2 linked regions of the Coturnix japonica genome follow. Each later gene encodes a partner of the first gene's protein in a complex. Links are inferred from orthologs where the notes say so. Each region holds a gene or a part of one and is shown in the gene's direction. Other genes may lie near its edges. The genes, in order: TLR4 and LY96.

Region 1 (3,499 bases):
TCAGGATCCTTTGCAAAGATTCACCTTGGTGAACTGGTTCTGAGATCCTCTTTCGAGAACCTCAGTGTGATGCAGTCCTCTCTTCAGGGCCTGGCAGGTTTACAGGTCAACAGACTAATAGTTGGAGAATTCACTAACATTCTGAAGCTGACAGCATTTCAGAACGGACTCTTGAGCGGTCTGTGTCAGGTGCAGATGCAGGAGTTTGTCTTAATGTGTTTCAGAGACTTTGAGAATGACACAGACACTCTTTTTGACTGCATAGGCAATGTCTCCACTATTCGGTTCGTGGACCTTCGTCTTGAAACGTTGTCAGAAGTTCCTATGTTTTCTCAAGTGAAACACCTGGAATGGAAGAAATCTAAGTTTCAGGAGTTGCCTGCTGAGAAGCTGTCTCTTTTTAAGGAGTTGAGAGTGCTTCGTATTACCAAGAGCAAAGACCTAAATAGCTTCGAGCAAAAGTTTGGGAGTCTGACTTACCTGGAGGTTGTAGATTTGAGTGAGAATCGTCTCTCCTTCCTTACCTGCTGTTCCCATAAGTTTCCCAGGTCTCCAAATTTGAAACACTTGAACTTAAGCTTCAATTCTGACATCAGTTTGACTGGAGATTTTGCTAATCTGAGAAATCTGCTCTACTTGGACCTTCAACACACCACAATAATTCATCATGGCACCTACCCTGTCTTTCTACTCCTTCAGAAACTCATTTACCTTGATATCTCCTACACCAAAACTCATGTTATGTCCCATCACATCTTTCATGGCTTGGACTCTTTGCAAGTGCTAAAGATGGCAGGCAATTCCTTTGAGAACAACACACTGACCAACTACTTTGAGAATGTAAGACGCCTCCGCATCTTGGATATTTCAAATTGCAAATTGGTATGGGTGGACCAAAGTACATTTAATGCTCTCTCTGAACTAAAAGAGCTAATAATCAGCAACAACAAGCTATTGACTTTTGATCCTGTAACCTACAAGCCACTCCAAGCCCTCACAGCCCTGGATTTCAGCAACAACCAGCTGAGTTTCCTGTCAGACTCAGCCCTGAAAATCCTGCCTGATGGTCTGGTCTCACTAGACATTTCTCACAACTTGTTTGAATGCTCCTGCATACACTTGAACTTCTTGAAATGGGTCAAGGGAAAGCAGGATCTACTGCAGAACAAGCATTCAATGATATGCCACACACCTGCCTACATGGAGAACGTGAGCCTGTCAAGCTTTGATATGTCCTCTTGCCATCCCAACCCAACCACAGTAGCATGCTCAGTGATTGTGTTGGTTGCCGCAGGAGTGTTTCTATTCCTCATTTATAAGTACTTCTTCCAGCTATACTACTCGTTGGTGCTGCTCAGTGGGTGCAAACACTCTGCAGAAAGGGGAGATACCTACGATGCCTTTGTTATCCATTCCAGCAAAGACCAAGAATGGGTGATGAAAGAGCTTGTGGAACCCTTAGAAGAAGGAAAACCTCCCTTCCAGCTTTGTCTTTACTACAGGGATTTTTTACCGGGGGTACCCATTGTCACTAATATAATCCAAGAAGGTTTTCTGAGTAGCAGAAATGTCATTGCAGTCATCTCAGCTGACTTTCTGGAAAGCAAGTGGTGTAGCTTTGAGTTCGACATTGCTCAGTCCTGGCAGCTTGTTGAAGGGAAGGCTGGAATCATCATGATCATATTAGGGGAAGTGGATAAGGCCTTGTTGAGGCAGAGGCTGGGACTGTCCCGATATCTGAGGAGAAACACGTATCTGGAGTGGAAAGACAAAGAAATAAGCAAGCATATCTTCTGGAGGCAGCTGACATCAGTCCTGCTAGAAGGCAAAAGATGGAATCAGGAGGAGATAAAACTCATGTAAAGAGAAAGAAACATCACTTCTGTCCTGTCTCCCACCCTGGCCTTGGCTGATGCTTGGTGCTCAGAAGCCCGTCCTTCTGTGACTGTTCAGGGTTGGACAAAGTGAAAAGAGACAATGTGAAAGCACTACAGAAACACCTACTTTGATGACTGCCCTTCCTCCAGGCAGCTATCAAGATAAGGAGTGGCAACAGCTTGAAAAACTGCAGATGCCTGAGCTCTGTTGTTGTCTGTAGGAGTCAGCTGAAGCCGGTCCAGAAATCCATGCAGATCTGGTGGGTCAGTGAATAGATATGAGAATGGATGGGCTGTTCTTACCTCTGACACTCAGTTTGGGCTGTTTGCTCAGCAGAATTTCAGTCTGACACTTTGAGTGGACCCCAGGGTTTCTGGGTGAGGGTAAAGGTACAGAACAGCTCCAAACTCTAGACATGGTAGGAAAAGAAATAAGATTTAGGTCTGGGTTAGCTAAACTAAAAGTATCCCATCACTAACTGTGACTAAAAGGAGGGAAAGTTTAATGCCATTGAATCACAGTACAGAGCAATCTATTGATGCGTTGGATATTGAATACTGCTGGAGTATTGCTCTCTATTTACGGAAGGCTTTGGTTGGGATTAATCACTGAGTTAGTCTAGTCTTAAACTTGCAAATCCCTCTATAATCAATGCCATTCTACAGAGGTAAAACAGAAGCAATTGAGTGGTGAATCAGACCTGATATTTTCTCAGAAGAAAAGGCCTGATCCATCTCACTTTTCTCAGCACCAGATAGCAGCATCTCCGTGGAAGCCAGCTATAGGTGAGACTGACTTCAGACATTACTTCCAAAAGAGGGAAAGCTAATTTCAGGGCTTGTGCTGGAAAAAGATGCCCCACAGTCCCTTCTCTGTGTGTTCTATCAGTAGTGTATTGGGATAACACTAACAAAAACCTCTCTAGTGTCTTCTGTGACCCATGAAACAAAGCTTTAATAAAACCAAGCTGGATGCTGTGTTTGCTTGCCTAGACAGTTTGTTTTGCACCTGTTGACTAGGGCAGGGGATGGGGATTGGCTATGGGAGGCAGTGCTGGGACACAGGCCCAGCTCTAGTTTCCGTGCCTCAAGGCTACAGGAGAACATGGAGGAAAAGCAAATATTAGCCCCGGATATCATCAGTTACGTCAGGAAAGAGAATGAGGGAAAATGAAATGGGGTGAGACTCACTGCTGCTGAGTTGAGCAGTACAGAAGCATCATTTCTCCATCCCTCTTCGCGTCTCTTCTGCAAACAGTTCGGTGCATACGCATTTCTGGCATCCTATGATTCTTGATTGTAATTGTAATAATGGGCTTCAGAAAGCCTGCAAGTGGTTCTGAGTATCACAATAAGGGTTTAGGCCAGTATTGCTTAAAAAGGAACAGTTTGTTGCATATCAAAGCAACTGTAGGAGGACAGCAGGGGTGGTGCAGAAGAACACCCTATACTGGGGTGCAGTGCCAAGCTGCTGTGTGCTGTAGGTGTCCACCCATGCACCACAGGCTCTGCTGGGTGAGATCCACCACCTCCTGGACAGCCTGTGCCAATGCATTGCCACTCTTTTGAGAAGAAGTGTTTCCTAATAGCCAACCTGATCCTCCCCTGGCACAACTTAAGGC
Region 2 (4,281 bases), on another chromosome or scaffold:
TGTCTTCATTTTAGTTATGAGAGCTTTTATGTATGACCTTGTAAATCTACGGATTTCTTTCTGATGAGTCCATCAGTTACCCAATGTGCTGTGCAGTGAAGCAAGACCCAGTGTGGCAGCAGAGGGGCACACATTCAGCGGGGTCACCTCATGTCAATGCCCTACAGTCAGTGCAGTCTCCCACCTACTTCAAACAGGCCTGTGACTTTTGTTGGATCTGTTGATTCTACTGTCAGTCTTAGCTTGTTCTGTGACTGATTAGGCTCACTCGAGATCAATGGCTGGAGCTTTTTGATGTAAAACAAATCTTTTCTTTTGCCACAGGTATGAGGTAGCTACTCTTCAGTGTCTGATTCACTATTGCATTTCTTTTTCCAGCTACTGTGGCATCCTGATTTATGTTTATTTTATTACTCACTCTGATACTTTTAAGGAAAAAAAAAGACCATTTGTAAATATAACTAATGTTACCATGGTTACAAATGTTTTGCATGTTTTATAGTGTCCTGTTAAACAACAGCTGAAGTCTGTGTGGGGTGTATGTACTCTGTCAGGGAAATTGTATAAAGCTGAAGTCACAGAATCACAGAATGGATTGGGTTGGAAGGGACCTTACTGTTCATCCTGTTCCAACCCCCCTAACATGCACTGTACTGACAAAATGTTCAGGGTTTGGACTCGATGCTCCAGCATGAATTGCATGACCCAGCTTTTCTGCTAGAGACTGCAGTGAAGAGCATGAGAAGAGGTCACAGAGTTAGGGGGAGGGACGTAGAGCCCATTAGTAGAAATTTTATGGGTTTTTAAGGTTGTTGTCACTAAGAAGTATGACCTTGATAAAGCTTTGAAGGTAGTAGCTGACATAGAGGAGAACTTCAGTGGTTCTACAAGTTAACTGGTTGCATTATATCCATAATGTCTGAGTTCTCTTATGGTATGATGAGCTTTGTAAGAAATTCAGTGTGAAAACATGAGAACTATTGACTACAACACCAGTAAGAGTGGACTAGGCTTTCATCGTTTGAGTGTAAGTTTTCTTTATTATGTACAGGAAACCTTGTGAGCATGTGAAATCAAGCCTTACCAACAATTGCTCCTGTTGAGTCAGCCCCATTTGCCTTTTACATTCTTCTGGTAATTGTATTTTTAGTTTCTCTCACTTCCTCATTTCACACAGTTTTCTCTTTCATTTTTTCACTCGTGACATGAGCTGTTCTGTCTGGAGAAGATGTAACAACAAAGGCAGAAATACTTTTTCTTCATGAAATTCGTGATGAAGATAACTGATAGCACTGGAATAGGATTAATTAAGGAAATTAGAATTTGACAGAACAAAACAAATATTCCCTGGAGACGTGAAGCTGAGGATGGCCATGCTGCATTTTTGTTCCTCTTTCCCCAAAATGAAGCATTCCGCCCAATACCGATCAAAATAAGTAAATATGTTGGAGTTTATCTTTTTCATTTTGTTCACTCCTGGAGCCAGTGAATTTCTCTGTACATCATCAGATCTAGAACTATCGTACGCTTTTTGTGGTAAGTAGAAACTAGCTTATTCTTTTCTTTCTGTCCTGTGTGCAATAATTACACTAATCTAAGGCAAACTGAACCTTCTCTTCTGTATGTTTCTTGGATGAATCAGGCAAATATAAACAAGAGTTTCAGCTGGTGTATATTTCTGGTCTTAATCACCCTGTTATAAGAATCATGCTGCATAAATGTTAAGTATTACCTCGATGGCGGCTTGCAGTATCTAAGAGGGAAGGTGTTTACTACTCAGTAGAGAAAGCATGAGGCATATTTTGATTCAGGAAAAGCTGGAAGATAGGAGTTTTGAATTTGGTTTGGAAGTTCTGTATTGTCCAAATTACCCATACTGATTTAATTAATATTTTACACTTAAAATATTGAAAAATAAAACAGCCTGTGTGACTCTGTGCCAGGCTGGGGGGCAGTGCAGCTCTGGGGCAGCAAGACAACTTCTCTGCTGGTTGCTAGCTGTCTCTGAGCAGTAGGTGACGGGATCCATGTAGTTCACTGACTTTTTTCATCAGTTCTGCAGCAATGAGGCACAAGGAGGCTGCGAGGGCCAAGCGGGCTCCTTGTGAACATGTATACTCAATGGCAGGAAGGCAGGAATTCTAGGAGATAGATATTTTTCAAGGAAAGAAGCTCGTCTATGCGCACTACCAGTGCATATCACCTGTAAAATATCTATACAAACTAAAGCACAAGAGGGAATGTTTACCTTGGGTATTTTGCTTTCCATTAACACTCATTTAAAAAATGTAACACGTCTGTGTTAGGCCTAAGCTTGCAAACTGACTACGGTGTGTTTTGTTCTCCGTTTTCTAGCATAATTTCCCGTATGCAGTTGTGATCAGAACATGACTGCCAATTACCAGCAGTCAGACAGTCCTTTTGCACAACCCTTGCTTGAATCCACAAAATAGAAGACAGAGCTCATTATAAATCATGATGAAGTCACTGCTGCAACCTGAGCTGGCCTGCTAGCCTTGGGCAACATGCTAGTATGTATAATACACAGCTAGCATAAGTAGGAATATTTTTATCAGAGGATCCTGATGGCATAATTCTAATGCAAAGTGTGTGACTTTGAAAAGGAAAGAAGCATGCTTCTTGCCTGTTTGAGTGCAAAATGTAATTCATCCAACAAATGACTTTTCTTACTTCTCAGTCACAAAGTAATCTGATGCTGCTTTTGCCTTCTAACTATGTAAACAATCAGGAGCATCATTTGAAAAGATCTTTAATGTTTACTACAAATAATTAGATTACACAGTTGTATAATATATACTTTATATTAGGTCTATTTGTATTGAGTGTTTGTGTTTACTGTAAGTGTATACATACATCCATGTGCAATAATTCACTAACAACATGAAATAATTTTATCCTGTAGATTCTTCAGCTCATTATTTCAAGTTTAACGTGACACCCTGCAGCATGCTGAACAGATCCGTCTGGCATGCTGCTATTACCTGGATTCCAAGTGAGTCACTATTGCCTAGAGAATTATATTGTCCGAATGCAAAGAAATAATAAGTGACACAAGCAAAAAACTGCCACTTCATCCTAAATGTCAGTTTATTTAAGAGATACTTTTCTGTGATTAACAATGGAACGAATAAACTACAGCGATGGACAGAAATGATGATTTCTAAACTGTTTGTGAAAATAAGAGTGTTTGAATTTGACTTGTTTGTGCAGGTTCCATAGCTCAGAGCACTGACTGGCATTGCACGTACCATTGTGAGTCAGCTCAGGTACTTCTAGAAAAAGCAAATAAACTTTTGGTGCACACATCCTTTTCTGGTCTGAAAAAGACCCATGCTATTTTAAGGGGAGAAAATATCCAAGCACATCGGGACTAAGAATATGCACACTCCAGAAACTGGAAATATGGTAATAGAGTGTGTGTGTAAACCTAGCTTTAAACTAATCTTTAAAACCAGTTTTAAGCTGGCAAATTGTGTAATGAAACATGTATGGGCAGCACTTTCAAACATATAGTTTGATTTTTGAGCGGTGCTGTTTGAAGCCTGGAGTTGGACTTGATGATCCTTATCCCTTCCAACTCGGGATATTCTGTGATTCTATTAGCCTGTGAGCTATATCTCAAACTTCACCTGCTCCGTGAAAATTCTGAAGCTGGGGTAAGATTACTTCCCTGGTAAAGTAACTTTATGATGGCTACCAGCAATCTGGACTATTTGTTTAAAATACGTGCTTAAAATTATATGTGTGGAATCTCTTAGGGACAAGCTATGGAGCTAAGTGAACACTGTTGTCTTTGCTGAAGAAATTGAAAGAGATTTTGAAATTTGTCACTAATATTTCTTGAGACTGATTCCTTTTGGTAAAAGAAACCAACTTTCTTTTTTTTTTTTCCTGGAAAGAATGGTTTTCAAGAAATGTATATTTGTTTTTAGGGACTTTAAAAAAATGAAATATCAGAAAAAAAATAGTTTTTAGTCGAAATAGTATGTCTGCACATGTATTTTTTCCTCCTTACCAGTTACTTCTTTTCTTACTTGCAATATCTTAACTAGAAAGCGATGTCGCCTATTTGAAGATAGTCTTCACAGTCTGGTATGAAGGTGCCAGAGCATTGCGCTGGAGACAAGTTATGTGCAGTGGGACTGACGACGAATATTCTCTGTGTGGAGGGCTGAAAGGAGGTCAGTGGGAAACCTTGCCTTGCAGGTTGCAGACTGTGGCATAACCTGGTCATTGGTACTTGCTACCAAGCAGATTTCT

What was found.
Region 2: the proteins of TLR4 (region 1) and LY96 are in contact, whole or in part, in a crystal structure (PDB 4G8A), measured with the Homo sapiens proteins. The link is inferred for Coturnix japonica from reciprocal best matches to the Homo sapiens genes TLR4 and LY96. Residues at the interface, in NP_612564.1 of Homo sapiens: Gln39, Met41, Glu42, Asp60, Ser62, Phe63, Asp84, Ser86, Arg87, Thr110, Gly111, Val132, Val134, Glu135, Asn156, His159, Ser183, Ser184, Asp209, Leu212, Arg234, Val259, Glu262, Phe263, Arg264, Asn265, Glu266, Arg289, Ala291, Tyr292; in NP_056179.4 of Homo sapiens: Met40, Tyr42, Ile66, Pro67, Arg68, Arg96, Ser98, Asp99, Asp100, Asp101, Tyr102, Ser103, Phe104, Arg106, Leu108, Lys109, Gly110, Glu111, Thr112, Thr115, Thr116, Ile117.

The regions. Positions count from the first base shown.
Region 1 is NC_029532.1:2,459,386-2,462,884, forward strand, and holds the end of TLR4 (toll-like receptor 4), read left to right. Parts: coding exon 1-1,863; 3' UTR 1,864-2,869; downstream 2,870-3,499.
Region 2 is NC_029517.1:106,980,220-106,984,500, forward strand, and holds the start of LY96 (lymphocyte antigen 96), read left to right. Parts: upstream 1-1,169; 5' UTR 1,170-1,442; coding exon 1,443-1,536; intron 1,537-2,923; coding exon 2,924-3,013; intron 3,014-4,073; coding exon 4,074-4,202; intron 4,203-4,281. UniProt on the Homo sapiens protein: Binds bacterial lipopolysaccharide (LPS). Cooperates with TLR4 in the innate immune response to bacterial lipopolysaccharide (LPS), and with TLR2 in the response to cell wall components from Gram-positive and Gram-negative bacteria.